Arabidopsis thaliana: one gene and its partners. The protein of the gene in region 1 interacts with the protein of each later gene in a pairwise test. Each region holds a gene or a part of one and is shown in the gene's direction. Other genes may lie near its edges. The genes, in order: LACS8, AT1G73920 and BTI2.

What was found.
Region 2: the proteins of LACS8 (region 1) and AT1G73920 interact in a two-hybrid assay, tested with the Arabidopsis thaliana proteins (one large-scale study listed by BioGRID).
Region 3: the proteins of LACS8 (region 1) and BTI2 interact in a two-hybrid assay, tested with the Arabidopsis thaliana proteins (one large-scale study listed by BioGRID).

Annotation. Positions count from the first base shown.
Region 1 is NC_003071.7:1,511,526-1,522,407, forward strand, and holds LACS8 (AMP-dependent synthetase and ligase family protein), read left to right. Parts: upstream 1-4,108; 5' UTR 4,109-4,409; intron 4,410-4,549; 5' UTR 4,550-4,560; coding exon 4,561-5,076; intron 5,077-5,152; coding exon 5,153-5,233; intron 5,234-5,321; coding exon 5,322-5,594; intron 5,595-5,686; coding exon 5,687-5,818; intron 5,819-5,913; coding exon 5,914-6,087; intron 6,088-6,169; coding exon 6,170-6,399; intron 6,400-6,565; coding exon 6,566-6,683; intron 6,684-6,763; coding exon 6,764-6,895; intron 6,896-6,968; coding exon 6,969-7,103; intron 7,104-7,197; coding exon 7,198-7,404; intron 7,405-7,488; coding exon 7,489-7,653; 3' UTR 7,654-7,783; downstream 7,784-10,882. Other genes in the region: AT2G04340 (cytoplasmic dynein 2 light intermediate chain), read left to right, coding at 2,886-3,134, 3,309-3,497, 3,595-3,678; AT2G04360 (uncharacterized protein), read right to left, coding at 8,120-8,255, 8,339-8,421, 8,488-8,869, 8,947-9,092, 9,167-9,505. UniProt on the Arabidopsis thaliana protein: Activation of long-chain fatty acids for both synthesis of cellular lipids, and degradation via beta-oxidation. Preferentially uses palmitate, palmitoleate, oleate and linoleate.
Region 2 is NC_003070.9:27,786,501-27,798,146, forward strand, and holds AT1G73920 (alpha/beta-Hydrolases superfamily protein), read left to right. Parts: upstream 1-4,236; 5' UTR 4,237-4,693; coding exon 4,694-4,734; intron 4,735-5,095; exon of another isoform or gene 5,096-5,100; coding exon 5,101-5,274; intron 5,275-5,358; coding exon 5,359-5,755; intron 5,756-5,853; coding exon 5,854-6,152; intron 6,153-6,246; coding exon 6,247-6,315; intron 6,316-6,414; coding exon 6,415-6,471; intron 6,472-6,896; coding exon 6,897-6,949; intron 6,950-7,039; coding exon 7,040-7,115; intron 7,116-7,249; coding exon 7,250-8,198; 3' UTR 8,199-8,428; downstream 8,429-11,646. Other genes in the region: UGT89B1 (UDP-glucosyl transferase 89B1), read left to right, coding at 1-64; AT1G73885 (AT-rich interactive domain protein), read left to right, coding at 364-487, 583-824, 917-1,082, 1,162-1,208; AT1G73890 (Bifunctional inhibitor/lipid-transfer protein/seed storage 2S albumin superfamily protein), read right to left, coding at 1,403-1,548, 1,636-1,734, 1,822-2,158; ARP4A (actin-related proteins 4A), read left to right, coding at 2,793-2,805, 2,942-3,033, 3,163-3,309, 3,397-3,470, 3,623-3,800; AT1G73930 (polarity axis stabilization protein), read right to left, coding at 8,847-9,008, 9,253-9,445, 9,518-11,034.
Region 3 is NC_003075.7:6,835,081-6,844,609, reverse strand, and holds BTI2 (VIRB2-interacting protein 2), read left to right. Parts: upstream 1-4,573; 5' UTR 4,574-5,031; coding exon 5,032-5,284; intron 5,285-5,605; coding exon 5,606-5,786; intron 5,787-5,875; coding exon 5,876-6,017; intron 6,018-6,107; coding exon 6,108-6,177; intron 6,178-6,264; coding exon 6,265-6,434; 3' UTR 6,435-6,699; downstream 6,700-9,529. Other genes in the region: AT4G11230 (Riboflavin synthase-like superfamily protein), read left to right, coding at 6-51, 484-603, 1,123-1,530, 1,622-2,008, 2,096-2,191, 2,296-2,411, 2,541-2,708, 2,782-2,941 and 4 more; AT4G11211 (uncharacterized protein), read right to left, coding at 8,271-8,336.

The DNA of each region.
Region 1 (10,882 bases):
ACCAGCACTCTAATAATTAGCTGGATAGGCCTTGCAGTTGAAACCAGAGATCAAAGCATGCTCCCTAATACCATAGCGGATGGGAACTCCATTAACAACGAACCAAACCTCCTTCTTCTTCTCAATAGATGTCGTTCGAAGAAAAAGCATCCACATCCTCATTAACTTGTGGGTATATCCGGAAGGTAGGTGATAGATGTGCTTGAAACTCGGATGCTCCATAAAATAATTATTTTCAACATTCGTTAGAGGATGTTCCAAGTCAGCGAAGGTCTTCAACACCTCCGAGATATAACACCTCGTTGCTAACTTCATCTTCTTGGTATACTCCGACGCCGGGAAGTACATACCAAGTGGCTGCATTGCCATCGCTTCCTCCATATCCTGAAAGAAACAAACATTCATTCATATATCACTCAATTGTAAATAGTATGCCACATTATTACTCTGTATTTCCAAAAAGTATTCCCCGAAATTACCAGTATTACACAAATCGTACTATTCATATATCACTCAATTGTAAATAGTACTGCCACATTATTACTCTGTATTTCCAAAAAGTATTCCCCGTAATTACCAGTATTACACAAATCCTACTGTTCATATTTCACTCAATTGTAAATAGTACTGCCACATTATTACTCTGTATTTCCTACAAGTATTCCCCGTAATTACCAGTATAACACAGATACTCCTATTTTACTATATAGTATTTCTCAAAGTTACTAGTACTAACTACTGATAAATCACAATTGTAGTATTACTCTAAGGTATTACCCACATCCGCCAATATTACCTAAATATCAACATAGCATTTCCCAATGTTACTAGTACTGTCCACAGTTCACAATTGCATTATTACCCAATTAGATCGGTATTACGAAATGGAATACTTACCACATTTGCGATGTCCTCGTCTATGGTCCTCTCCTCCACGGGTTTTTCCACTATCACGTCCTCGTCTCTCTCGTCCTCGTCTCCCTCATCCTCCACGGACTTTTCCACATTGACGTCCTCGTCGCTCGCGGAGCTCCTCTCCTCCTCCTCCTCGATAACGGCTAGGCCGTCATCTTGTCTCTCCGCCTCTTCCACGGGATTAGCACACGCGAGTTCTTTGTTTGTCTCCGTCTCCTCTGAATCGGAATCGGAGCCCAAGGTTTGGCTACTACTCCCTGATTATTCTTCTTCACTTCCTTCTTCTTTTTCATTTTCATCTTCCACCTCATCAGTTTGCATATTCTCTTGAGTTTCTTCAGCCGGAATATGCTTCAGAGCATCATAAAACGTAGAATCATCAAGCATCGGGCTCTCCGTCGTTGGAGCCGTCGTTGGAGCCGTTGTCGTTAGAGCCGCTGTCGTTGGAGCCGCATTGGTTGCCATCGCCGTCGCAATCGTTTGTGCCGTCGCAGTCGTCTTCGCCGGCGCCTGAACCTTCGCTTTCTTCGCCGGCGCCTGAACCTTCTCTTTCTTCGCCGGCGCCTGAACCTTCGCTTTCTTCGCCGGCACCTTCTCCTTCACTTTCTCCGCCGGCGCCTTAACTTTCTCTGTCTTCGTCGGCGCCGGCGCTTCTATCTCCTTTCTTTTCCCTTGACCTCCTCCACGCGTCTTAGGCGGCATGACTGATTTCGAATCGGAAATAGAACGGAAATACTGGTGAAAGCAAGAAGAACGCTCGATTGAATTTAAAGAAATAGGGAATGTTGTGGTTAATTTCAGCGGTTACTAAGGAGAAGAAGTCAAAAAATCGAAAACGGTTGTAATGAGAACAAGAAACAATTTCGAATTGGAAAATCCCTGGAAATATTAAGGTTTTTTTTATTTGATTTTCAAATAAAGAGTAAAAGTGGTTCGGGTGGTTTGGTTCGGAAACGAACCATGATTTTTCTGGTAATTAATAGGTTCGGATAAGGATATACTAGTAATATCCATCTATTTCGAATTAAGAAAAAATAAATAAATTATTTCTGTTTTTTACAATGATTTTTTGGCTTCCTCTTTGCAAAAAGGACTGCCAGACGATTTTTCGATTTTGGAAGACCGTGGAGATCAAAACAGTCTCTTTTGTCTACTCAGTCCCCTCTTGATCTGGTACGTTTACATCTGCAATCTCCTCATCTCTTTAACCCATTTTCATCTCTTCCCTTAGAGTTTCAATCATCGAACAAAATTATTCTGATTTGGTCATTGATTTGCTTAAAGAATGATCTTTCTAGTTCAAAGCCAAGTTTTTTCAGTACCCATCTCGATATCTCTTTGTCCCTTGTTGCAAAAATGTCGAATCTTTCATATGTCTCATGTTGAGTAAAAGCTGCATACAAAGTGTTCGTAAAAATGCCGCAACGAAAGTTACTTGACATTCCAGATCAGATTATTATTTTTACATATAGTATGCCTATAGAATTATTTCTTGAAAATTTGGGCATGTCAATAAATTCTTGTTGCATAGCGCATTAGCAGATTCTAAGTATAGCACAGTAAGTAAGTTGCAATTTGGTTTGCATATCGATTTAGTTTTAGTATGGTCAGCTTCTTATTAGGATTATCAAGGAACTTAGGACTTGCGGTCTATGTGGTGAAGCTTCTGTGATGATCTCTGAAGTGTTTTTGTTGAGGACATTATGAGAGAGAGAGGTATAGTCTCCACCATGTCCAGGATAGGTGTGTTCTTGTAATAGGGCTTCTGGTAAAAGAAAAAGAGAGACTTTTCCACATGAGCTTAAATCTGTCGCATTTTACTTTCTGTGATTGAACTTTATATGCAAAACTGTCCATTAAAAGTTAATTTCTGCTTGATGCTTGTGTTGGAGTAGGGCTTATGGTTCCAGTTTGGCTAAACTGTGTTTTTCTTTATCTTTGGCATAGAAAGAAGATCCCTGTTTCTGGTTATGATGTCTCGACAGAGTCAGTTATTTACATTGCTTAGGAGAAGGTTTCATTCACCGTCTAATGATGCCCCAACGGAGACCTTAAGAAAGAAGATAGCCGATTTGCAAAAGAGTAAGAAGCGAAGGAACCCAATAAAGAACCAGTTTCTAGTTGAGGTTCCAGAATCAAGATCATATTTAGACACAGCAACGATGCCTATGTTCCTCGCTGTTGTAGGTATCGCATTATTTGCAAAGGTGCTAATGATGGTAAGCCTTCCTCTGTCATCTCTTTGAATGCGTCTTTCTTGTCAGTGACTTTAGCAGCTGTTAAGTAGAAGTTGTTTCGTAATTGAGCTGTTAGATTGCTTTATACTTTTTTGTGCAATTGAATTAGGAAGGATCTGTGGAAATTGCTGATTCTCAGTATTGGTTTGTTGTTAGATCGATGATTCGAAATCGCAAGAAATGATTGAACGCAAGATAAAGAATGCACCACAGGGGCAAGGCACGGTACGAATGATCGATCGTGAGGAGTGGGATGAGTTTAGAGAAGTAAGGCCAAGAACACCTTTTGAGTCAAAGCTTGCTCGCCCAAATGCACAAATAAGAACTGGAGAACCTGTGCGCAAGGTAAACCGCTCTATTAAATCACCAATCCTTGCAGTATCTTACCAAATCATATCGTCACTCGATGACCAAACCTTTTGCTTGTTTCCTTTTTAATCAGGATGACTTGAAAAACTGGACAATAGACGTGCTAACAAATGCTCTTGAACGAACCGAAGAAAGTGTTCGCCGTGGTTCCAGTTAGATTTTCTTTCCTCAATTCAATTGGAGCTTCCTAGTTAATAGACATATATATATCTTGAGAATTTGGTACTCAAGAACACTCTCGGTCATCTCCTAAGCGAACATAGGCATCATTTAGGACAGTTGAGAGAAGGAACAGAAGCTGTCTTGTAACGGAGAAATCTTTGAAATGGAGATATGAATATTCTTACTTTGTTTTGGAACTGCTTTGTGTATTCATATGTGTTTGACTCACACATTTCATCAAAATGCTTATAAAGGGTTTGATTGATAACTCGGACTCGGTTATGGGTGTAACGTTTTAATATTTAAAATCGCAAAATTGGAACCGCTTTTTTAAACTGAGTGAAATATAGCGTTTTGAAAAAAGACGTTTCTGGTGGCTTCTGAATTGAAAAATCAGCGTTTTTACTTTTCACAATATTCAATTGGAGAATCTTTAGAACTTCAACGAAGTAGCGTCTCCGGAATTTCAGGTAAACGTGGCAAGAAAAAGCCAAACGGAGAAGCATCCACGTGTCCCTCCATTAGCCATCTCCCACGTGTCCATTACCGTACCGACGAAACATTCCTTAACCAAAGGCTTCCCGAAAAAGGACAGAGTCCACAAGCTTCGGATTGTTCACAACTTCAAAGCATCGAAAAGGTTTAAACTTTACGTTTTTCTCTGGAACCCGATTCGAAGAAATCATCAAGAAGTTTCCTTTCACTGATTTCTCAATCTATTCGTAGGTAACCCAATTCCAAAAAACGTTTCTTTTTTCTCGATGCCTTAGCTTCTTTGGATTCTGTTGTGATCTACCGATTTTGAATTTGCTTGATCGATCATCGGATCACTGTGATTAGTGTTATTGTTCCTTTCCTTTGTGTAGCTTTCGCGCTTATGGAAGATTCTGGAGTGAATCCAATGGATTCACCATCTAAAGGCAGTGACTTTGGAGTCTATGGAATCATAGGAGGTGGAATCGTGGCTTTACTTGTGCCTGTGTTACTCTCTGTGGTGTTGAATGGAACCAAAAAGGGGAAAAAGAGAGGTGTTCCCATCAAAGTAGGTGGCGAGGAAGGTTACACAATGCGTCATGCTCGAGCTCCTGAATTGGTTGATGTACCTTGGGAAGGAGCTGCTACTATGCCTGCTTTGTTTGAGCAGTCTTGTAAGAAGTATTCGAAAGATCGGTTACTAGGAACTAGAGAGTTTATAGATAAGGAATTTATTACTGCTAGTGATGGGAGGAAGTTTGAGAAGCTTCATTTAGGAGAGTATAAATGGCAAAGTTATGGAGAGGTTTTTGAACGTGTTTGTAACTTTGCGTCGGGGTTAGTTAATGTAGGACATAATGTTGATGATCGTGTTGCTATCTTTTCGGATACTCGTGCTGAGTGGTTTATCGCGTTTCAGGTTTGTTTATCAACTATTGTTTTGTTGGTTTGGCTTGAATTTGTCTGATGAAATGGTTGGTGTTGTAAATTTCCAGGGATGTTTCAGGCAGAGCATAACCGTTGTTACTATTTATGCTTCTTTAGGAGAAGAGGCTTTGATTTACTCACTCAATGAGGTTGGTAGGGGAAGTTTTGAATGTGTATGTTTTTTATTAGTAAATTTGGTTGTTGGATCTCTGAATCTTGCTTGTGTATTGTTGACAGACTCGAGTGTCAACCTTAATATGTGACTCAAAACAACTTAAGAAGTTGTCTGCGATACAATCAAGCTTGAAAACTGTGAAGAACATTATTTACATTGAAGAAGATGGAGTAGATGTTGCTTCTAGTGATGTCAATAGTATGGGTGATATAACTGTTTCGTCGATCTCTGAAGTTGAGAAACTTGGGCAGAAGAACGCTGTTCAACCGATCTTACCTTCGAAGAATGGAGTTGCTGTTATAATGTTTACCAGTGGTAGTACTGGTCTACCAAAGGTATGTGTTGCACTGTGTCTTCTCTTTTCTTTATGTGTTTTGTTCACCTGAATTCTTGATTGGTGTACCTTACATTGTGTGCATTCACTCAGGGAGTTATGATTACCCACGGAAATCTTGTCGCAACTGCTGCAGGAGTTATGAAGGTGGTTCCAAAGTTGGATAAAAATGATACATATATTGCGTACTTACCTTTGGCTCATGTGTTTGAGCTGGAAGCTGAGGTATGTTGCTGTACTCTCTCTCCCTCTCTATGTCTCTCTCATTTTAACTGCTAACTTATTTTCTTACTGTTTCTTGCCAAATCATGGTTTTTCAGATTGTGGTCTTTACCTCAGGTAGTGCCATCGGTTACGGCTCAGCAATGACTTTAACTGACACTTCAAATAAAGTTAAGAAAGGAACCAAAGGAGATGTTTCAGCTCTGAAGCCAACTATAATGACTGCAGTTCCAGCTATTCTGGATCGTGTCCGAGAAGGAGTTCTTAAAAAGGTACCATCTTAGAGACGACAATGTTGTGTGTATTGTTGGAGTTACTTACTAGATACTTCAATTTGTGTATGTAATAATCTAGGTTGAGGAAAAGGGAGGGATGGCGAAGACCCTTTTTGACTTTGCATACAAGCGCCGGTTAGCAGCTGTGGATGGAAGTTGGTTTGGTGCCTGGGGTTTGGAGAAAATGTTATGGGATGCTCTTGTCTTCAAGAAAATACGCGCTGTGCTTGGAGGACACATCCGTTTTATGCTCGTTGGAGGAGCTCCTCTGTCTCCTGATTCGCAACGCTTCATCAATATCTGCATGGGGTAATGTAGTCTCACATCTGATATTTTCATATGAGTCTTGTCCCATTTTGGCTTAGACAAACACCATTTTGGTGCCTGGTTTGTGTTTATCTGTATTCTTCTTTGCAAATTCACAATGCTTGGGATTAGTTTGTTCTGATTATGATTGTGCATTATTTTCTGTTAGGTCTCCCATCGGCCAAGGATATGGATTGACTGAAACGTGTGCTGGAGCTACGTTTTCTGAGTGGGACGATCCTGCTGTTGGTCGTGTTGGACCTCCACTTCCATGCGGCTACGTTAAGGTTTGCAGACAATCTTTAACACACCATGTTGACAATGTGCAAGTTTATTGTAATCATGAGTAACAAATTTCATCTTGCAGCTCGTTTCTTGGGAAGAAGGTGGCTACAGAATTTCAGATAAACCAATGCCTAGAGGGGAGATTGTGGTAGGTGGTAACAGTGTAACAGCAGGTTACTTCAACAATCAAGAAAAAACCGATGAGGTTTACAAGGTAAAGCACATTCAGGGAGCTTAGTTGATCCGCTTGCTATATAGATTTCTGAGAATCCATGTGACGATTTCAGGTCGATGAGAAGGGCACAAGGTGGTTTTACACCGGAGATATTGGGAGATTCCACCCTGATGGATGTCTCGAAGTCATCGATAGAAAGAAAGATATTGTTAAACTTCAACATGGGGAATACGTATCCCTTGGAAAGGTTTGCCTATAGAACTTAAATTCTACATAGAGGATGGTGGTATATGATAAAATCTCATCATGCTCTTTCATTGCCTGGATCACACAATTCACAGGTGGAGGCAGCTTTGGGTTCGAGCAATTACGTTGATAACATCATGGTCCACGCAGACCCAATTAACAGCTACTGTGTAGCTCTTGTTGTTCCATCACGAGGAGCATTAGAGAAATGGGCAGAGGAAGCTGGAGTTAAACACAGCGAATTCGCTGAGCTATGCGAGAAAGGTGAAGCAGTCAAGGAGGTTCAACAATCTCTTACCAAGGTTTGTATTTTCAATAGCTGTCTCAGGTTTTTCACAATTACGTTTGGTAAGTATATGTATTACAAAATATTATTATCATTTCAGGCCGGGAAGGCGGCAAAGCTCGAAAAGTTTGAGCTTCCAGCAAAGATCAAGTTGCTGTCAGAGCCGTGGACACCGGAGTCGGGATTGGTCACTGCTGCTCTTAAGATAAAGAGAGAACAAATAAAGTCCAAGTTCAAAGATGAACTCAGCAAGTTATATGCCTAAAAACTTTTCTTGGACTTGTGACAAACTCCATATATTTCAGTCTGACTTTCCACATTTTGTTATATCTACAATAAACTTGAAGTTTTTCTCCTTTTGTTAATTCAATACCTATATGATTCCACTTCCATCAGCTATAGCCTATAGAAGAGAGTAAATCATTGTGGTATACAAGGAGCTGAAGTATTCGAAAAGTAGACGCGGATCGAAAAACTCCTTTAGGTAAAACTTCTCTGCTTTATTAACCATATGAAATCCTCTGAAAACAAAAGGTACAAATGAAATCCTCCTTATGATCCGGAATTAGGTTTTGTATTCTAGAATACGTTTGTGACGTTGGTGGTTTATCATGTTCATAATGTTATCATCAGCATTCATGCATCAGAAATATGATGGTCGGTCCTGTGAAATCTTCCTGGGGCTTCTGGACAATAGTCTTGTCATCGAGCAAAAGAGAAAGTTGATGTTGCTATTGATTTGGGTCAGATGATGCAGTATCTTTGGGAGCTATCGTCTCTGACACTGCTGGTCGTAGGAGTAGATACAAAGAAGGTCCCAAGAATGGAATCACCGATACCGGTAACAGCCAACTGCCTTTATCAAACCTGATAAAGAAGCAGTGCGTTTAGAGAAACAGAAAAAGGTTTGAGTGAGTAAACACCGCAAACTAGTTGTACATAGAACTCACCATTTTCGGGTGGTCATGTCGTTGTAAACCCAAAACGGAGCAAATGCAGAGAGTAAACAGAAATCAAGACTTGTAACATGAATCTGCATTTTAGTTTAGGTCAAATATGAGGACAGATACGAAAACATTTCCAGGGAAATGAGGCTTACAAATTTGCTCTCTCGAAAGTACTGATAAAACTCCGTCCAATCACCGGCATTACCGACAACTGAATAAAGAATTATACCCAGTCCTGCAACTAGAGTGACCTGATTCATAATCCAACAACAACCAAAGACCAAAAGGCAAGAGACAATTTTCTTTAACTTGTAAGTCCAGTGATAACAAATCAAGATTTCAAAAGAGTGAGAGTGAGAGAGATAATCTCTTACCCCAGCAGTTACTTTTGATTCCAGAACATTCAAAGGCCATTGTCTCAGCTCAGTCTCTGAAACAGGAGGAGAAGGAGGATTCCACAGTGCAAAATAAGGTAACAAAGCATAAACACCACCGAAAAAGGAAAGCACAACGAAAGGCCAAGCCGGTGTTTTACTGTCCAACAAAGAGCTCTATTAGTTAGTGTTTGAAGTTCCTAAAAGAGCTTCACTTGAACAAACTATGGATGGTACCTTGTACCAGTGGGAAGCAAGAGCATGGCATAAACCAAAGGCCACAAACCCATGATGTACCATAACCCAACAAGGATCTGATTCATTCTAAAACCATCATCACCTTTCAAATTCAAAAGCTTTTTCAAAAAGTACAAGTCTTGTGTCTGCAATACAAAAACCTAAGATTATATTATGATTGCAAAATCGTAACTTTATGAAGTATTTGAAGATTGCGTACGGGTGTTTGATCAGGAGCGAGATTGAAGCAATAGTACAAGAGCGCACCCCAAAGCGCAAAAAGCAAAATTGAGCTAGACCAGTCTCTTCCTTCATCTTGAATTTGAGTCTTCTCTGGTTCTTCTGGGTTGTTTGAAGAGCTTTTGCAGATATGGAAGAATGTGACTTTCTTCTCGTATTTCGGGAAAAGGGCAATTCTATGTGGTGAAGAAGAAGCTCGTGATTGAAGAAGAAGAAGGAGGCTTGAGGATTGTGTTAGGGTTTGAGGTCGAGTGGAGGGTTTAAGAAGACGTGGAAGGCGAGAGAAGTTGCAGGAGATGAGGCTTATGCTTCCCAACATTTTTTCTTCTTCTCTTCCTCCAATCTAGTTGACCTTGGTTGGAATTGAACGCATTTATTGGTTCGGTTCGGATCGGATACCGATTTTTCGGGTTTGAAAGTATAGAAACCGATTCGGATATTTTGAGATTTTGGTTTCGGATTCGGATCGGATGCTCGGATTCGGACATTATGCCCAGCTTATAGATTAGTAAAAAAATAATTATCTTAAAGATAGTAATATGAATAATATTTTGGTTGGTAGATTAAGTTATTTTCCATGATTTTTTTTAAAACTTGAAAACATATTACATGGCAACATAACATATCCTGTAGCATATTAATAATAGGATAAGTCAGACCATTATTGAAATGTTGATATTATAAATCATATTTTGATTATTGTTTTAGCATAATTATGAATAGTTCTTCCATAGTTCTTTCAAATTTGTAAGTTATTTAAATTGATCTAAAAATTATTTAAAAGATCTCAAACTAAAATATTTCATCTACTCAGCAATCAGAAGTGAACATTTTTGAGCATAAGAAATTGATATAATGTAGCAAGTAATATCTGAAGAACCAGTGACTGGTGAGCTCTTAACTTTAAGAGCTTGAGTCTAGTTAGATTTTGAAACAAGGGGCCTCTTCTTTTCCCTTATTATAGTCCACCATTCTATATAACGAAATGAAAAATTGTCAACATATGCGATATGATTAAGATTCAAGCAAGGGAGAAACAAAAATTTGAATGTTTACTTCTTCAAAATAACTACGATGAATAATGAGCTCTTTACAATATCGACTTAATGCACTAAGAAGATTTTTTGTTGAAACTTAATTGAAAGTGTGTCTTGAAATTTGTTAAAGTTTTGTCGTATCGTAAAAGAACCAGATCTTGCACTCTTGACCTTTAAAAAGCTGAGAATTGGTGCATCAATTAAGTTTGTCGTCAACTTTCATTGTTATCAGCTACAAACATGGAACTTTGAGAAAAATTTCAATAGTTTTCATACTTTGCGACACCACAACCACTTTACTCTCCTCAATCTCCTCTACACTTTGCACCTTGGAAGATAACATTTTGAACTCGGATTTTGTAAGATTCAAGCTTGGGAGTTGCTTCCATAAGTCTGTCCATTGCGGTGTTACTTTACTATTTTGAATGTATTTACAAGTTGTTAGTCTCGTAAGAATCTTTGACGTGAAATGATTTTACGGTAAATCTTGAACACAAGTCAATACATCTACAAAAGAAAAATATATTAGCAATACACGACCTAAGATATGTAAAATTTATTTATTCCAAATTCACAAATAGAGTTAAAGTAAATAAGCTTTGTATTTCACTAAATCGAGAAATTATTCGGTAAAATTAAGATACTATACATAACAAGTA
Region 2 (11,646 bases), on another chromosome or scaffold:
GAGCTCAGTGAATGATTTAGATGGATTTATCCAACATGTCGTTAGTTTAGGACTAAACAAATGATTTGATTTAGTCAAACAAAATTCTAATTATGGTTTTTTTTTCCTTAATACAGTATGTTCCTCACGAACTAAAAAAATATGCATGAGTGTATTTTATTAAATTGTTGTAAGATGATAAATAAGTGTTTGTGATTGTGATTCATAAATAAGTGTTTGTGATTTTTGTTAAACAAATCGGGTCAATTTGGTCGGGTCGGGTCATATCGGGTCAAGTTTAATAATACCCGAATGTTTTGTTTTCCTTATCTTCTTCGAATCTGGCTTCGCTTCCCTCTCTCACATATCCACACAACAAAGGAAATGGCTCTCACCGTGAGCAGCGGTGGCGGAGGAGCTAGAATCCGCTGCAACGACCTCACCGATTCTTCTCGTAACCCTTTCTCCACCTTCCGACTCGTAAACTTCCCTAATCCATCAAGAACCGGTCTTCACGTTGTCTCTGCCGCCAAAAAACCTTCCACACAGACCGGTCGTTTCGACAGCAAGAAGCGTCGGACTCTCGTTCCTACAACGACTAAGAACAGCAGGAAGAGGGAAACGAAGGTTTTGACGGCGAGAACCCGCCGTCTCAGATCGTTATCAACGACGAAGATGGAGATAGAACGGTGGTGAATACTCGATTCAGAGGTGATCCGAAAGATGCGCCGAAATTTGCCATTAAGGATCTTCCTGGACTTGAACCAGATCCTTTTGAAGGTGAGAAGTGGGATGGTCTAGGTTTCTTCGTTCAGTACTTGTGGGCTTTCGGAATCCTTTTCGCGGTAAATTTCTGTACTTTTCAGTTGCTTTATAACAATTCTCCAATTTTGAAGTTAAACCAATCAATTCACTATGGTTCAAAATGTTGTAACAGCTAATCTCTGGTGGACTTGCGGCGGGGACGTATAACGAAGGTGCGACGGATTTCAAGGAGACGCCAGTATATAAAGAGGCGATTCAATCTCGTGACCTTCTTGATGAAGCAGAGAGTTCAAACTCTGAAGATGTGTTTGAGTCCAACCCAACAGAAGTGGCTCCTAGTTTGGAATAGTTTCAGTTCAGTGTTTAGAGAAAGAATTTAAAGACTGAAACTTTTTGCTATTGGGGTGTTTTAAAAAGCCATATTCCAAGTTGATCTTGAGCTTGTTGTGTTCATAATGTTATAGATTCAAAGTTAAAAGAAGAGTATTGTTCTTCATTGTTCTGTTTTCCGATTTCATTTCTGAACTGCAAACTTCTTTAGGAATCATTCCAATAATCTCTTCTTTTATAAATGTAAGGTAAAGTTATAAAGTTGATCTTGATTCATTGAGAAAACACAAAACAGAAGAGACCGAGATGGTAGTTAATGCAGAAAGACTCAGATGAGGAGGAGAGCGGCGGGTAAGATCGCTGCGAGTGCAAAGATGGTTAGCTGAATCTCAGACTTGGAGCCAGAGGATTTCAAACCATAACCTAATCCCATAAAACTGGTGGGTCTTGGTGCCATTTGAGCCACTGGAGTAGCTGATAAAGTGAAAAGTAACACTATGTTAACTGTTTCCATGTTTTGGTTTTAGCAGATACTGAAAACTTTGGTAAAAAGTGGTTTACCAGCGACACGAGAGTTGTTCTTTGCACCTTGAGAGATTTGAGAACCAGTTGAGCTTGAAGGTGGTGGAGCAACAGAGGAGGAATCACTAGGCGCCTCTCCTATATACCGAAAACATTCTCGTAAGTTCCAAGAAACCAATTTGATCTCACAGAGGAGAGGACAAAGTAGAAGTGTTGTTTACGTACCAGGGAAGGAGGAGGAGCAAGTGGATGAATTGGCTGGAATGTTGCAAAGCGGAGGCAATTGTAGAGCAAGAGTTTGATTAATTGGAAAAGCAGGGGACAAAGTAGAGGTGTTGTTGAGGAAGAGACAGAGACAGGTTGCTTCTTGGCTATAGATCTGGTTTAAGCTGTCACAACATGGCTGAGCCGGAAGTTGGGCAAAGCCTTGAACGAATGGACCACATGGAGCTAAGGAAAGCAGTCTGGAGGCACATGTAGCTGGTACTTGAGCGAGAACCATTCGGAGAAAGAATGCTGATAAGGAGATTAAAAGAGTGATGAGAAGAGTAGAAGAAGCCATTTTTTTCCTAGGAGACTAAGTTTCTTTCTTCTTTGTTTGTGGGAGAGTAAGGGGATTCTGAGTATTTAAGGTTGGAATCAATTGGTTTGGTGTGTGTGACTATGGACATGAATTGTTATTGCACACATGATGTGTGTTTATTTGTTGCAACACTTGAGTTCTTCATGCTCGTTTCTTATTTGGTGTTTTTGAGTTCATTCGTAAATTGTGCTTCTTGTTGACCACAAGAAAACAAGAATGTTACCGGAATCTCGTTAACAAATTTTTAGAATTTGAAATAGTTAACCAATTGAAATACCAAATTTAGAAAACTTGAGCAACAAAGTCGTTGTAGTATAGTGGTAAGTATTCCCGCCTGTCACGCGGGTGACCCGGGTTCGATCCCCGGCAACGGCGTATTTTTAATTTTTTCATATTTGTTTTTATTTTAGTCCCTTTGTTTTCAGTTTCTTTAGTTTTAGTCCCTCATATTTCAGGTTTGTTTGTTTTAGTCCTTCTCTTCTTTATATTCAACTTCCCAATCCGAGACAAAGTGAAATCACTTAAATAGTTTACTTTCCGGTTCCGTTCTTAAACCTTCCGACGAAGCTCCGGTAGAGAAAACCTCTCTTCACCTCTCCCATTCTCGGCAGCCATGTACGGTGGAGGTAGGTTTTATTTTCGTCCTCTCTAAAATCTCTCTCTGATTGTACAAATTCAGCATTACTTCTTTCCCTTTTCGCTTGAGCTCGTCTCGTAAAGGTGTAAACTTTTCCTTGGTGGGGTTTCTTATATATTGAACAGACGAAGTGTCAGCTATCGTAGTAGACTTAGGTTCTCACACTTGCAAAGCTGGTTACGCCGGAGAAGATGCCCCTAAAGCTGTTTTCCCTTCCGTAAGTCTCATTCTTTACTTCCTCTCTTTTCAATTGGTTAAAGTTAGGTCCTTTTAGTGTAGAGCAAGCAATTCGAGAAATTTAGGTTTTTTGTTGTTGCTGTTGTTGATGTGTTATATAACTTATAAGGTTGTTGGAGCGATAGATGGAAATGGAATGGATATTGATGATGCTGCAAACACCACGGAGGATGCAAAGGAGTCTGATAAAGAAAAAGGCAAAAGGAAGCTTTACACAGGATCTCAAGCTTTGAACTTTCGCCGCGATCAAATGGAGGTCAGTTTTCTTTATTAAACTTCAAAATGGTTAGGGATGAAGATAAATTTTCAGGTCTCTCTATTAGTTGACATTTGTCTGTTCCAGATATTGTCACCTACAAAGGATGGCATTGTAACTGATTGGGATATGGTGGACAATGTATGGGATCATGCTTTTAGGTAATTTGCAGAATCTGTTAGTTTTTGTCTTTAACTGTTTAATCTTTATCTTTTCCATTTATAGTTGATTGATGATTTCATCTGTGTAAATGTTTATTATTCAAGGAATTGTCTAATGATTGATCCCACGGAGCACCCAATGCTACTTGCAGAGCCTCCTCTGAACTCACAGCAGCAGAGAGAAAAGTCTGGTTTCTCTACCTTTTATCGATGCTGAGTTCATCTTGGATTAGGAACAGATTATTCTGGTGGAACATCATCAATGCAGTAATTGAAAGAACGCCTCGAGAAAGACTTGGTAGAAGTAAGGTAGTATACTGGCATCGTTAGGCTCATTCCAGCAAATGTGGTTCTCCAAGTCTGAGTAAGTAACACATTGGATTGCTCTCTAGATCTCGACTCACGTATAAACAGTGTCTTCTCATCGCTAGGGTTTGAGTCTTTTTGTGTACATGACAGGTATGCAGAGCATGGAGCTTCTTACATCCAGAGGAAATGCCCTTAAAAGCTGCTTGAGATCAAGATAACGAGAACCTTTGGAGACAGTCAGAGGGTTTAGGGATTAAGTAATTAGTATCTTTTCATTTATTTAGGCAAATATTAAACACTTTTTTATTATTATTATGAAGCTTTAGAAATAGCTTCGTATAATATAATGTTTCAACGTTAACATACAACAAATGTACTATTTTTCTAAGTGAAAACAACCACAAATGTACTTGTGTGTTTGCCTGTTTGGTAAATCCACCTTCTCCGTTATCCAAAAGTCGAATTTACGTGTCGTAGTTTTTGTCACATTCGTCATTATCCAATAACACATGTCCACGTGTCACCATTTTCTGGTCTCTGGACGGCAAGAATCGCCGACGTGCCCCTATTTAATCGGATTCTCCCATTTTTATTTTATTTTCGTCAGATTCTCTCCAATTTTGTTTTTTCTTTTTAGATTTTTGATTCTCGAATCGCGGCTCCTGTGGGTCTCTGTGTTTTCCTTATTTTGAGTTCGGATTAAATCTCGATCGCGATTTGGTCCAATATCTCCTAGCATCGAGAGATTTCTATTCTGGCTAAATTTTGTGTTTTCTCAGGTGGATAAGAAATTTTCTCTTTGTCGTTTTCCTCGATAATTTTCGGATTACGGCGACGAATCAGATTGTTTTTTGGTTTCAAATTTTCTGATATTTCCAAAAAAACAAAAAAATCTGATTTTTGAGAAAAAAGCAATGCAACGGATCGTGGACAACGCTCTCGCTGTAACCAAAGAGTGAGTCTTTTTTCTTATCGATCATCAGTGGATTCATCTGTGTATGCGCCTATAGTTGTTCTAATGTTTCATAAATGACAAGTAGAGATTTTTAAGTTTTTGATCGTTTGGTGATTATAGTAAGTCTCTTTGTTAATTAGTATTGGTAGATTGTGTTTTTGAGTTTTGTTAGACCATTTTATTCTAGTATCTTCATTCAAAGCTTCGTCTTTTAGAGTTGATGTTGGCTATGAACTTTGAGTCGGTGAAATGACTATTTCTTTTTTTTTGGTTCGTCTTTTTGTTAGATGTTCTTCTTTTCCCTTATGTTGTCTAACAAGCTTAAACTAAATAAGCTTTTTGATTATGTTTTGGCTTTTAGTGCAGATCAGTAAAAACTGTTACATATGAGTCTTTGAATAACATTGCGAGGTGCATAAATGGAGTATCAGCTCTTCTGTTGACCCTTCTCCCAGGGAAGGCTAATATTCTTGAAGGCTTACATGGCTGGGAACTCAGGCCTACGTTTCGTGGACCACGTTTACCACGGTGGATGCATAAGTAATAATTTCTCATGATTCTTCTGTTGTTAGTTTATTTGCAAGCCTTCAAAATATGCTAATTTTACTCTGTTTTTGATGGCAGTGGGGTCTCTTCTTTCAATGAGTTCATTCATGAGCTTTCTGTTGATTCTGATACTTCAAGCTTGGAGTATTCTTCTGGAGAAGATAGTGATGGTCCTTTGCCTCCATCACCATCATCTCAAAGCTCACGCCTCTCTTGGGCTAGCACTTCTGCAAGTTCTGAAAACCACTGGACAGAGTGGATTACGTTCATTCTTTGGTGGTTAATGTTTCCTGTACGGATCTTGCTATGGATACCACAATATATTATAAGTTTATTCTATAAACGAAGTTCAAGAATTCCTGCGAGCCCGAGAAGGCACCAACATTCATCTAGACCTCGTATTAGCAAGACCAACTCAAGCAAAGACCATGATGTTCCCAACCGAACTACTGATAGAAGACGTGGGGTTATTGAGGTTTGTGGATGCACGAACAAATATTCAATGTTACAATCATTTTTGTGATTTTAAACCTTTTGACAAACTCGTCCTACTTAATGTGCTTTATTTTTCAGGATCTTCATCTTGCTATCGAGATCGGCATAGAAGCAATATTTGATTTTTTTCACAAGGCTACGCATCTTCTTCTTTCTCCATCAGAAGCTTTTGCAATATTGTTATCATGGTTCTCATCTTCCAGTCGCAGCCCTAAAGAAAACCATGGTGAGGTTGCTTATGATGAAACTGTGCAGACTGCTACTTTAGGAGATACAGATCCATCCCCCACGGAAAGGCCCGTTGAAAGTCCCACACGTTTATACAACTCTATGAACACTGATACTCGAACGTGTCAAGATGTCATAACAGAGTTGGGGTAAAGGGGCAGATTCGATGTCTCATGCTTCCATTTTTTTTTTCTCTTTCTCAAGTAGTTGATATTTACTTGATTTCTCTCCTACTCTTGGTAGGTATCCTTACGAAGCTATTCGTGTTATTACATCTGACGGATATGTTCTTGTCTTGGAAAGGATACCAAGGTATAACTTTCTTGTTAGATATTAAGCTCGCTTGTGCATGCTTTCCATTCCTGTTACATTGTCTCTTAATGTGATCGTTGACTACTCTTGTCTTTGCAGACGTGATGCAAGGAAAGCTGTTTTTTTGCAGCATGGGGTTTTGGATTCTTCAATGGGGTAAGTTTCATGGTCTAGTTCTTAGATGACTCGTAAACTTTGGAAACTTAGTAAGCTGAAAAGTTGAGGAAGTATTATTTTCTATATCCATGTAGCATAACATTCCTAGGCGTTTCAATGTTCCTGACTCTTTACCCAAAAAAAAATTATTTTCATAATTTGTTCCCTTCAACTTTGCGTGTGTGTTTGATTTGCTCAAGACACAAAAATGGATTTGGGAAAATCTTTTGGTGCGATTAGGAGGGATACTGCTTTCAGTTACTTTAGTTATCTCATCTTCTTTTTTCCCTTTCCTTCTCTCCGATCCTTCTTAAAGATTTAGTTTTGACTTGGAACATCCTATAATCCTCTGATGTTTTGATCTAATATATGTCCTATGAAACATTATTGATTACTCTTTTTCTCTACTGCGTGTTTTTCTTCAGATGGGTATCTAATGGGGTTGTTGGATCTCCGGCTTTTGCTGCGTATGACCAAGGTTCAAGCCTCAAGTTTTTCATTTTCCAATCTTTTATTAATTCACATACGGCAACGATTTATCAGCTTCTTACACTCTTTTCCTTTACAGGCTATGATGTTTTTCTGGGTAACTTTCGGGGTTTAGTTTCAAGAGATCATGTGAACAAGAACATATCCTCAAAAGAGTGAGTTATTGCTTTAAAGTTCACTTCTTACTTAATCTACATGCACTGTCTGGTTTCTTTATGATAGTGGAGTTTCATCATATGTATATATTTGCAAGTTGTACAAATGTTCATTGTTATTGACCAAAATGCAGGTTCTGGCGATACTCCATTAACGAGCACGGTACTGAAGATATCCCAGCGATGATAGAAAAAATTCATGAAATAAAAACTACAGAACTCAAGCTCTGCCAGCCCAATATCGATGAAGAAATCAACCAGGAGGAGCCTTATAAGCTCTGTGCCATCTGTCACAGTCTAGGCGGTGCTGCAATTCTGATGTATGTTATTACTCGAAAAATCAAGGAGAAGCCACACAGACTCTCACGACTAATCCTACTTTCACCTGCTGGGTTTCATGAGGACTCGAACTTAGGTTTCACAATAGTTGAGTACATATTCCTTTTCATTAGTCCAGTTTTGGCTCGCATCGTGCCTGCCTTCTACATACCGACAAGATTCTTCAGAATGCTTCTGAACAAGTTAGCCCGTGACTTTCACAACTATCCTGCTCTTGGTGGATTGGTCCAAACTCTAATGAGTTATGTAGTTGGTGGAGACAGCTCGAATTGGGTCGGAGTCTTAGGATTGCCTCACTACAACATGAACGACATGCCAGCTGTCTCCTTCCGTGTGGCGCAACATCTTGCTCAGATCAAACACACCGGTAAATTCAGGATGTATGATTATGGAAGCAGATCAGCTAACATGGAGGTTTATGGCTCTCCTGAACCGCTTGATCTAGGGGAGTCTTACAAGTTCATCGATGTGCCTGTGGATTTAGTAGCGGGAAGGAACGACAAGGTGATCCGTTCCTCTATGGTGAAGAAACACTACAATGTGATGAGAGATGCCGAGGTCGATGTATCGTTTAATGAGTTTGAGTATGCTCACCTTGATTTCACATTCTCTCACCGTGAAGAGCTTTTGAGATATGTGATGTCGCGGCTTCTGCTTGTGAAACAGACACCAGTTCAACAGAGGCAGACCAGTCAGAAAGGTATGAAGTTGAAGAAGAAGAAAAAGGAGGGTACAGTAGTGTAGTAGCTGAAACCGATCTATGGCCAATGTTCAATGCCTCGTAGAGTTTGGTGTCTTTGTATTGTGATGTTGTGTGTAAGCTTCATGTGTGTGTTCTATGCCAGTATCCTATGGCTTGGCTATAATAGTGTACATATACCGTAAAGATTGATCCCTTGATGAAATGATCTTGTTGTGAGAGATGCTTTTTTCAGCCGTATGGTATATAATAATGTTTCTAGTGGTTTGGTTTCCATGAAAATGATATGATGTCATGAAAGATGCTATGAATCCAGAAAATTCCTCCTTTCCATTGGAAGATCTGAAGAGACCAATTAATCATATAGTTGGCGAATCTTTGCATACTTTGACATAGAACTTCTGTAGGTCATACAGTTTATTCATTTGTCGTAATAATATAAATCATAGTTACAGTTACATGTTTAATGGATCCAAGAAGGATAAATTTATCTGGTTATAGAGTTAAAAATACAGCAGTGATCAGTGATTTCGGTGTTGTGTGATTCTCATGTTTCAAAAGAAAAAACGAGTAAACAATTAGGGAAGATGAAGAATTTTTCTCTTTTTTCTTTGGTACAGTTCAAAGAATGAAACAGAAAAGGGAAGAAAAGAAATCAGAATCCTCATGGACGCCGTAGTGAAGAAGAGCATTCATTGGAGCTCTGATGGATCTTGAAGAAGAGATGCTCTTTGTGGATTTAAAAGCAGAAGTTGCTGCATGTCCTTTGGAAGCACACTGAACACCGCTTGTAGATCCTTCTTCAGTTTCTGAAACGTTCCTTCTGAATCTGCACCTCCTCCTGATTCCAGCGACTGCAAAATATATGTTTTCGATATGTCATAATGGTTCCAAATCTGCTGAAGAGAGAACTAGTTTATGTTTATCATTACGTATTCTACCTAACTATGCAGATATGTACATCGCTAACAAAATAAAATCTATCTTTACATCTCTCAGGCATGTAAGTAATGTTTACATGGGAGTGTCCAAAGAAAAGAATCTAGCACAGAAGTAACATGAACATGAAATTAAGAGTCTAAAGGAAGGTAAACTTACCTTGACTTCCTCACTAATGTGTTTCTCAATGGCATTGAAGGAATCCACAGCTTCCAATTCATTCATCTGAGACGTAATCTGCCTCATATCAGTCTTCATTCTAGCTAGCCTCCATAATCTACGCTGTTCTTGTTCAGCAACAGCTCGCCGTCTTTGGAACCAAGGCGAAAAGTTGGGTCCTCGTAGAAACCGCCTGAAATATAATGAACTGTTTAGCAAGGGAACTAAATATTGGTAGCCCAGAATGAGACAATATTGTTTATACCTATACAAGTCGGGCCAGTTAGATTTCATCCGTTTAGACAAAAACTTCCCTACACCTCTCCCAGATAAATTTGAAAGGAATTCATCAGCACCAAATGATGGGAGCGCAGGAGGGGTAACATATGGGGAAGACCCATCTGAAGGAGCATTGACCTGGAAATATGGACCAAAAGGGGCCAAGAAATTTGTAGTTAATTCCAGGAAATGGCGTCGCAGAATCTCATTATTCACAACTGACATCGACTCCTCAACCCTTGGCGACATCCCAGCATCAATAAGTCTATTCAAAATCGAAGTGTCTGGCTTGGTTACTGCAGAGTAGGTGGTCCAGACAGCTTCCTTGTGTTCTGTCATGAGACACAGAGGTCCATCTCGCCTAAGTTTTACAGCATTGAGCAAATTTGTAGGAGAGAACCTTCTTAATGAAAGCTGTTGGACGCCTAATCCTTCAGGTTTAACAGATAATTTACCAGCCGACCTACTTGTAAAGGCTACACGGTTTGAGTTTGGAGCAGGGGTTCCAACTGAGACAACATGAGGGATGTTACGAAGAGCTTTAAGGAAAAAGATATTGGTGACACCCAAAACCATTGGCGGGAAAGTGTCTCCTTCTCGGAGTGAGTTTAGTCGAGCGAATCCTGGATCATGTATAGTGAAATATGGTCTAAAGTCGACACTACAAAATAGCGGCGCAACCAAACTCACAAGACAAGCAACTGCCTCAGAACATTGCGGAGGTGTTGGTGCTATGATAAGGATGGGCTCGCCTATGAGTAACAATTCCCATAATGTCCATAGCTGCAACAATAGTCCCCGGTAAATGCCAAAAAGATCTGCGTCATGGAAAAGACCTTGAGGAACAGACTGATTTGTAGGGAGTAATGGAGCCATGGAAGAAGCAGATTCCTCATATAAAATCCCATTTTCCAAGGGAAGGCTATGAGCAGGCGGCAAGTTCACCTTAAGCATTGCATTACCAATAGGCAGCTCCATTAGCTTACCAGGCACAGGAGCAGGCCACATAGAGACATAACCAGCAATATGTTCAATAGCCTTATTTCCAACATCAAAATACAAAGGACCAATGATTTGCAACAAAGGCCTAAACACACTCGAGTAAGGCGTATGCGATAATATCACCACAGACTTCTGTTCACCTCCCCTTTTCAATCTTTCATCATGCCTCTGCCTATTAAATACATAACCATACAAGTACCTCTCACTACCATCTCTCTCCTCAGTGTTCTTCTTTGGTCTACGAAACCGGAAAAAGAAAATGCAGTCATGTATGCTTGAACGATTATGATGCTGTGAGACAGAATCCGGGAAAGAGTTAAAAGAAACCTCAATTTCCTCTTCTTGTGAGAGACAATCTGGTGGATAACACTCTTCTAAGAGCTGCCCTTGCTCAAGATCAAACCTCATAATGCAAAATGCATGAATCCATCGTTTCAATGACTCAGGATCAGGCTTTATACTTAGCTCAGGCTTCACAGAAAACGATGGAGACCGACTCATTTCAAATGTAACCAAGAAACTCTCCTATCCATCAAACCTCATCGTCCCTTATACTTCCCCAATTGAAAAGCTTCATCAAAGTTTGAATCTTTAGCTTATACTAAGCTCAGATTTGGTGGGTTAGCTTCATGAAACACTTTCGCAGCCTGAAATTGAATCCCAAAGAAAGAAAATTTGTAAGCTCAAGACGTTAGATCAAATCAACAGCAGCCATTTTAGCAGCTCCAATGCCTTGAATCGAATCACCACATTGAATACAATAAGAACAGGGCTGGTTCTGAAGGCGTGAGAGAAATTAGGGTTTGTAAGAGGAGAAGAAGATGTCTTACACGTTACACGTGATGAATTAGAACTCAAAGTTTGGGTTTTTCGTTGGTGAATTTTGCATTTTGATTCGAAGGAATCGCAAAAACGGAAGGCTAACTCCGAAATGATTCATGGAGCATTGTTAGCTGTTGTTTTTCTTAATTGAATAAATAAAATAAAAGGTACTTTTTCACAAATTTTTGGTACAATTTGGACAATGTGATATTGGGCTTACCGTTAAGGCCCATCATTGATTCGCAGTTGAATATTTTAAAAATTACAAAAATTTCAATGTAGGATCATTTA
Region 3 (9,529 bases), on another chromosome or scaffold:
TGCAGGGTTAAAAATGGAGATGGTAGAATCACAGAGAATGAAGTAAAAGAGGTTTTTTTTTTTTTTTTTACTTTTGTTCGATCTTCTTTGTTTAGTATTCTAATCAGCATTGACTAATGAATCTTACATGAGTCCCATTATCTTTATATGTTTTAGTATTGTATTATCCCTCTTGCTTAATTTTATAGAGCTACATGTTTTTTTTTTTTGGTTGGTTATGTTGGTCTTGATATTATTCTTTCTTATGTCTACCTTGTAACCAATGCAAGACTAGGAGATTTAAGTTGCAATTGTTTTTTCTGCATATAATTTGATTGACCTTGTAGCAGCTTTCTTAATTTAAGGAAGTGATTCTAACTACCAATGAAAAGATATTGTTTTTCTATATAACCACTAAGTTTAACGTTGAATCTTTCAAATAGAAGCTTCTCAATGGTATTAACTACTTTTTGTATGGTTTTCTATGATTTTGACAACCTATAGATTATTATACTAAGTGCATCGGCAAATAATCTATCGAGGTTGCGAGAACGAGCAGAGGAATATGCCGCACTGATCATGGAAGAACTTGCACCAGATGGACTCTATTCTCAGTACATAGAGGTGGTTCCATCACTTTTAACTCCCAATCTTGTTAAATGTCCTAACAGAAAACATGTTTAAATACCGTAAAACTTTTGATAGTGTGTAGATCAGTCTCTTTCTATGAGAGAGAGAGTAGAAGGGTTCTTTGTTAAGTTTGACCTTAGTAAGTGATGACGTTGAGCTCTCTTACCTTTCAAGTTCTCTGATAGGGACATTTGACTGAGTCAAAACCAATGAGCTTAAAGTTATGTGCTATGCAAGTTTGTTTTTGTATGGAATTAATATAATAAAAGGTTGACGAAGACAAAAATGTAGAGGTCCACATATAGAGCTTGAACAAATATTGTTATCAAAAATAATCTCTAGTGGTGTAGTGGCGTTTAAGTGTATGATTAAGAATTTAGATAATCTTACTGTGATTAGTAACAAATATTGTTTGAGAGACTGCCCACTTGCTTGAGACTGAGACAAGATAGGTAGTAGAACTCTGTCAACATTCTAATATGTTGTCTTTGTTATGGATTTGAAATGATGCAGTTAAAGGACCTAGAGATACTGCTACTAGAGAAGGACATATCTCATAGTTACAGCCTACCGTTCAGCCAGACGAGCCGAGCCTTAAGCCAGAACCTAAAGGATAGAAGATGGAGAATGAGCAGAAACTTGCTTTACTCTTTGCAAGATAATTGGAAGAGGATTTGGGTTTTGACATTGTGGTTTGTGATCATGGCCTGGTTATTTATGTGGAAATGCTATCAGTACAAACACAAAGACGCATTCCATGTAATGGGTTACTGCCTTGTCATGGCAAAAGGCGCAGCTGAGACACTGAAATTCAACATGGCTCTTATTCTTTTGCCGGTCTGTAGAAATACCATCACCTATCTCAGATCCACCGCTTTGTCCCACTCAGTGCCTTTCGATGACTGCATTAATTTTCACAAGGTTAATCATAAACCATTTTTTGTCTTGCCTTTCATAAGAAAGATACTATGCTTCAGCTGAATCCGACTTTCCGGTTTTTGCTTAAACGCAGACGATCTCTGTAGCAATCATTAGTGCAATGCTTCTTCATGCAACCAGCCACCTCGCCTGTGACTTCCCAAGGATTCTAGCATCTACTGATACAGATTACAAAAGATACTTGGTTAAGTACTTTGGTGTGACCAGACCCACATACTTTGGTTTGGTGAATACTCCTGTGGGAATCACTGGAATTATAATGGTTGCTTTTATGTTAATTGCATTCACATTAGCCAGTAGAAGATGCAGGCGGAACTTAACTAAGTTGCCGAAGCCATTTGACAAACTAACCGGATATAATGCCTTCTGGTATTCACATCACTTACTTCTAACTGTTTACGTCCTTTTAGTCATCCACGGTGTTTCCCTCTATCTCGAGCATAAATGGTACCGCAAAACGGTACATTCCATAAACTCTTTACCATTTTACTTTTTGCATGCTTACATAATTGGCTGTGGTAACAATAACATATACTGCATCCTACAGGTATGGATGTATCTTGCTGTACCAGTTTTACTCTATGTTGGTGAGAGGATCTTTAGATTTTTCCGTTCCAGGCTTTACACAGTCGAAATCTGTAAGGTAAAATCTCACTTACAGTTACATTTTGAACTGAATTACATGAAAAGACACATTGTCAATCATCTACTATTATCTCTATACCAACTCAAATGATTTGGTTTCAGGTTGTAATTTATCCCGGAAACGTTGTTGTGCTACGCATGTCTAAGCCTACATCATTTGATTACAAGAGTGGACAATATGTATTTGTTCAGTGTCCATCAGTATCAAAATTTGAGTGGTGAGTGTTTTATAGGGAACCAAAACAAGCCTAATAGCTTTCCTTGCAATCCTAGAACATATACAAACTCTGTTCTTTGACACCACAAAGACTAACTTAAAGATTCTCGGTCCTAAACTCCATCTCCAGGCATCCATTTTCTATTACTTCTTCCCCTGGAGATGATTATCTCAGCATTCACATTCGTCAGCGCGGTGATTGGACAGAAGGGATTAAGAAGGCATTCTCAGTGGTATGTCATGCCCCTGAAGCTGGAAAAAGCGGACTTCTCAGAGCAGATGTACCAAACCAAAGAAGGTGCATAAAATTCTTTAAAATTCAATATATTATTCTCAGAATGTGAATTTTGATACTCTCTCTTGTAATATAGTTTTCCAGAGCTGTTGATAGATGGACCTTATGGCGCTCCAGCGCAAGACCATTGGAAGTATGATGTGGTATTACTGGTTGGCCTTGGAATCGGCGCAACACCTTTCGTTAGCATTTTGAGAGATCTACTCAATAACATTATTAAGCAACAGGAACAAGCTGTGAGTATAACAAGCTTAAAAACCTTGTTGATGAGTAACAGAATCTCAACTAAACTTTTTTGGAGTTATGTTATATTCTCAGGAATGCATCTCAGGTAGTTGTAGTAACAGCAACATCTCGTCGGATCACAGTTTCAGTTGCTTAAACTCAGAAGCTGCGAGTCGGATTCCGCAAACTCAACGGAAGACGCTGAATACCAAGAATGCTTACTTTTACTGGGTAACACGAGAACAAGGCTCGTTCGATTGGTTCAAAGAAATCATGAACGAGATTGCTGATTCAGATAGAAAGGTAAAAACAATACACTTATTCATTTTAAATTCAAAAGATTGTATGATTTCAAGTTACTCACTGACGTATTTGTCTTGTGAACAACTACAAGGGTGTTATTGAGATGCACAACTACTTGACTAGCGTCTACGAAGAAGGAGATACTCGATCCAATCTTCTCACTATGATCCAAACGTTAAACCATGCCAAAAATGGCGTCGACATTTTTTCAGGAACCAAGGTAATGATCTTTAATGATTAGTTGATTACTTTATCACAAACAACACTCTTTTCTGATCTTGTATAACAACTTTTGGTTATTTTAGGTAAGGACACATTTTGGGAGGCCAAAATGGAAGAAAGTTTTATCAAAGATTAGCACCAAACATAGGAACGCAAGAATTGGTAACACACAGAAACATCAGTTCACTGAAATGATATTCGATATCGCGGTGTATATTTGCCTTGTCTGAAGAATGTTTTTTTGTTTGTTACAGGAGTGTTCTATTGTGGAGTTCCAAGTTTGGGGAAGGAACTTTCAACACTCTGCCATGAATTTAACCAGACGGGAATTACCAGGTTCGATTTCCACAAAGAACAGTTCTAACTGGTAAAAGGATTAATCCCCCACGATTATGGTTTTTTGAATGAATGAATCAATGTTCATGTTCGTTCTCGTATCCTACTTGTTGTGTTTTCTTTTCGTTTTGTGTATCACAAATACCAACTTTTAACCATTTCATCTAGAGTAGGACTGTTAAAAAATGTAAAAAGTCACAGTTAAAGCTTGTGAAGAAAAAAAGAGTGTAAAGGAGTAAAAATGAGAAATTCAAACAAAGGGGGATGATGGGATCATTGGGATGATTGGTTCTGTCTGTTCAATTGTTTTCAAATTTGAGCACTTATTATTGGGCCTGTCTTTGAGCTCTCTTATTATTATGGGCCGATAACTAGTTTGGCCCATTTGGTTATCAACTTGAAAATGAATGAAGAAAGCTGGGGAAAAGGGTCTTTTTAAACCCGAACTGACTCAAAAGCCTCAAAAATTTCACTGTTCCTTGGTTCTTGACCGGTTTAGAATCATGGTTTCGGTTTTGAATCATATTTGCTTTCTTGGACATGAGAAAGTAACTGGGCTTCATCATTGTTTTAGCTCATTGGGCCCATATTACGACTCGAGCTAACGCTGTCAAGTTAAATGCTTTTTCACTTTCTAGAGCATTCTTTTTTAAACACTTCTTTTAACCAAGAGACGGTTCCTACTTCTCTAATATTTTTATTTTCTAGTTTTTTGGCCAGCAGCAAAATATTATTTTAATTTAGTGTCAAGATAATTAAATTATCATTGTCTTTTGAATGCAGACCGAAAGTACATGAGTCACATAAGCAAGCGGCTACGATTCAACCACGTGTCACATGACCACCGGTTCGACCGTTTCTTTGTCCAGCCGCGTGACACCTGAACCAGAAAAGTTTAATAGCCATTTTAATAACAGAGCCGTTAATTACACGTGACTTAAAAAGCCGTTATCCTTAACAGCGTTAACATCTCGGTCCTGTGAAAACACTTTTTATATGTCCCCACGACATTTATCTTTTCCTAAGCATCGCTCTAGTTAAGGAAGCAGCAGGTTTGGATCCGAACCAACCAACGGATCAGATCAGAAACAAAATATTCAACGGCTCAGATTTATTCTAATTTTCCTCCTTTTATTGTTGGTTTTTTCATTCGACTTCGAGATCTTTCTTCTCAGAGGTGTAACGAAAACGCTAGAACAATAACTTTGATCGTTCTTCTTCTTCTCTTGAATCGGAAACAATGGCGGATGAACATAAGCATGAAGAATCTTCACCTAATTTGGATCCAGCAGTGGAGGTTGTAGAGAGGGAATCGTTGATGGAGAAGTTATCGGAGAAGATCCATCACAAAGGTGATTCGTCGTCTTCATCATCATCAGATGACGAAAACGAGAAGAAGTCTTCGTCATCGTCTCCAAAGTCTTTGAAATCGAAGGTTTATCGTTTGTTCGGAAGAGAGAGACCTGTTCATAAGGTTCTCGGCGGCGGAAAACGTATGTTTACTCTGATCCCGTTTCGATATTTGTTCTCAGTTTTTTAAAACGAATTCGTTTGCGTTGGCTTGATCTGTTTGATTTTCTCACTAGTTTAAGGGATCCGTGAAGAAGATCGTTTGAATCTACATAGAGGTTTACATTGATTTGAATTCGATTTCGATTTTGATTTCTGACTAGTTTGAGAGAATTTGTGATGGAATTGATTTTTTTTTTTTTGGAAATGTGTATAATGATCTTGTGAGATTCTTGTAGTTATTGATGATATGGTTCTTATTTCGTGATTGATAAACCCTAATTTGGTGATCTTTTTAATTGCAGCGGCAGATATATTTATGTGGAAGGACAAGAAAATGTCAGGAGGTGTATTTGGCGGTGCTACAGTGGCATGGGTGCTATTTGAATTGATGGAGTATCATCTTCTTACTCTGTTATGTCACGTTATGATCGTTGCTCTTGCTGTGTTGTTTCTATGGTCTAATGCCACTATGTTCATTCACAAGTAAGTTTTGTGGTCAATCATATGAAACAGGTCAAGGTTGTCAAGCTTATTTGACTCATCTTCGTTACCAAATTTTCATTCTCTTTCAGGTCTCCACCAAAGATTCCTGAAGTTCATATCCCTGAAGAACCTCTTCTTCAGCTTGCTTCGGGTCTTAGAATCGAAATCAACCGTGGGATCTCTTCTCTTCGTGAGATTGCGTCGGGGAGGGATATCAAGAAGTTCCTCTCTGTATGTTTAAACTGTCCTGGACTTACTCGTTACTCCTCTCTCGATGTCTCACTTAAGTTTGACACTTATTGTACTGTTTGATTGAATTAGGCTATTGCCGGATTGTGGGTTCTATCGATCTTGGGCGGCTGCTATAGTTTCTTGACATTGGCATACATAGGTAACACTTACTGTTGCTAAAAGTATTTTGCTTCTGCCTTCTCTCTTATTCTGACATTGCTGATGAACGGTTATTGATTTGGTCCAGCTCTGGTTCTGCTCTTCACTGTTCCTCTTTTCTACGACAAGTACGAAGACAAAGTAGACTCATACGGTGAGAAAGCAATGGCTGAGTTGAAGAAGCAATACGCTGTGTTGGACGCAAAGGTATTCAGCAAAATCCCAAGAGGACCGTTGAAAGACAAGAAGAAGGATTAGTTTTTTTTGGGGTTTTTGTTTTGTGTGGGTTTTCTTTGGAGTGCAATGTGCACAATGCTCTGGTTTTTATACACGTGGGTTGTGTTGTGTTGTGAATTGGTAATCTAAAAGGTTATGTGTTAGATCTCAACCCAAATTTTACTTGACAACTTTGCTTTGTTTTTGGAGTGGTTTGTGGCATTAGCACAATGATTGTAGTCGTTCTCTTGATCTATATTTTTAATGTACTGATTGATTTCTGTGTTTCTAATATGGTACGTTACTCAAATATCGTTTTTTCTCGATTATATATTTGTAGTATGTCTTGATATCAAACAAGTCAGGATGGCCGAGTGGTCTAAGGCGCCAGACTCAAGTTCTGGTCCTCGTAAGAGGGCGTGGGTTCAAACCCCACTTCTGACAATTTAGATTTTTATTTTCTCTGAGCTCATTTTTTAAGTGTTTGTTACTTTATTTGTCCAAAAAATAAAAATATAACATGTTTGTATATTTACTGGTTATATATATGTAATAAGTATGAATATTAACAAATGTCAGTATGGCCGAGTGGTCTAAGGCGCCAGACTTAAGTTCTGGTCCTCTTACGAGGGCGTGGGTTCAAACCCCACTGCTGACAATTTATATTTTTGTTAATTTTAAATTATAATTACCTTCTTTTTTCTTTCCTTTATACTATGTTTTCTCATTTAACCATGTTTTTGTTTTTTCTTAAACGGTCTTATGTTTCTCAGGTAACAATCAGCTAAATAAGTAACTAGTTAAAAGTTAAAACGCTTAAGATCAATTTGTATCAAATGGTGAATCCTGAAACATAATAATATAATGGGTTCCACTTCTTATCTTTCAACAAAATAATTGTGACAACAGGATCATTTCACAAACTTGTCATAATTGTTTTGGTTCAACACATGTTCTCATTAATGGTTTTTCTTTTTTTTTTTCTTAAACAAAAGAATGGCCATATCATATGTTCCCGGAATCAGATAACTATTATTATTGCATAAATGAACCATCTATGAATTATATAATTTAGTCTATAAAAATCATTTTGATTTGTATAACTATTACTGAGATAATGAGATTTACTGATGCTTAAACATTTGTGAATAGAAAATAAGTAACTTTAGCTTGGCCTTATTCTTTTCACAGTCGCATGGACTGCAACACAAAATTAAAAGCCAAAGACTCATTAAATTAGGATTGATGACCCATCAACTTTCCCTACTTCATAAAAAAAGCTTGGAGGGCTATCACTGTTATTTGCGGTGTCTCCGATATTATTAGACTTGAGTAAGAACGACAAAAGATGAAAGAAAAGAAGAACATAAGATTAAGGAGAAGTAAAAGCTTCTTCTTCTTTTTTTTGTCTCCACTTGTTGTCACTGCGACTTTGCGCCAAACAAACAACGCTTCTTTTTTTGGTTACCTAACTTTCTTTTCTGGCTATGTTGTTGTTAGGTTTAGGTAAATTAAATCGTGAATCAAAATTAAATTACGCAAACACAAGTCACCAACACCAACACACATGACAATAATTAAAACATGCACAAATATAAAAGTTTATTCGTTAAATTTAACAATACCAAAAAGAATGAGCTAAAAATCTATTATATTTAATTTGCTTTTTGTTTCTTAATTTTTATATATGGCAATCATCACATTCATGAATTAAATTCCATAAACAAACACAATCAAATTGATAAACAACAACATGAATGACAAAAAGAAAAACAAAAACCTAGATAGTAGAGAAGGAGCCGATATAAGACCTTGGTAGGTTCGAAGAGGATCGAGCCCATCCGCCGTTCCATGACTTGCCGGTTCAACCCCACCGCTTTAACCGGAACGGTTTAAGAAATCATCATAATCAAGGCCGGTTAAATGAGTGCAGGGAGTGAACATTGTTGTATTTCTAAGCTATATGGTGAAACCCTTTGGTGCACCTAGAAGCTTCCATGGAAGCTCAGCGCAAGCTCCCCAAATTTGGATTCAACCTTATAGAGCTAATGAGTTTGATTCATATTTAGGGAGATATTGATGAAGCTTCCATGGCTAAAAATGGGGAGAGAGGGAGTTTGTCTTTCTACTTCTTGACTTTATATATAGCATTGTTTTTTTTCTTAATTATTTTGATGGTGGAAGAGAAAGAATCTGACACTAAAATATATTTACTTCAATGCCATTCGTTAATAAAGAAATTTACATAAAATAACTAAAGGATCTTTTTTTTATAACTTTTAAGGTCTTCTTGGTTATAACATTAGTTGATTAAGACAATAACATTAGTTGATCTTTGACTCTAATAACGGATCTTCGTTGATATATTAATATATCATTGTCTAATACTCTAATACATACGGTAAAAATTCTGAATTCATGAATAAATCATATTAAAAGTTTTCTGATCAAGAATTCTGAATCTCAAATCCATATCAGAACTTAAGCATGTTTTCTTTGTCACCTTCTTTTGGCAACTCGACTTATAGTACCCCTGAATAGATTGCCACCAATTATGCTCCACGCACTCTACATTCGACTGCTCCGGTTACAATCATTGGAGGGTAATACACAAATAATATTAAAACACTTTTGATTTACTAAATGAATATTTACAATTACTGATCTAGAGTGCAAGACCAATCAAAGGTCTAGAGTGCGTGCGAGGGACCCCAAGTCCACGACCAATCTCTTTAATTTTGCTGCCGCTTTGTCTATTTTCAATTGGCCATTCCTCTTTTTAATTAATTTTATATTCAAAAAATTGAATATTTCCACGAAATCCTTACTCTATGTCCACCAACCAAGTCACACATGATTTATAGAGAACATGTAAAAAGCATAAAGTAATGTTACTATTAGTTATTTTACAAAAACAAAAAGTTAGTTATTTTTTAATTTAATGTTAAATTATATTTAAAAATATATCATATTACATATCTAAAAATAGGGGGTTTTACGGACCAATCCAAATTGATAACGAATTTAAACGTATTTTGTATGTAAATTGGCGGATCAGTCCACGGATTACAAAAATTTAATAAAAATAAATAAATAATATATATAAAGCTTTTTGCTGATGGTCCTAGCAGACTGGC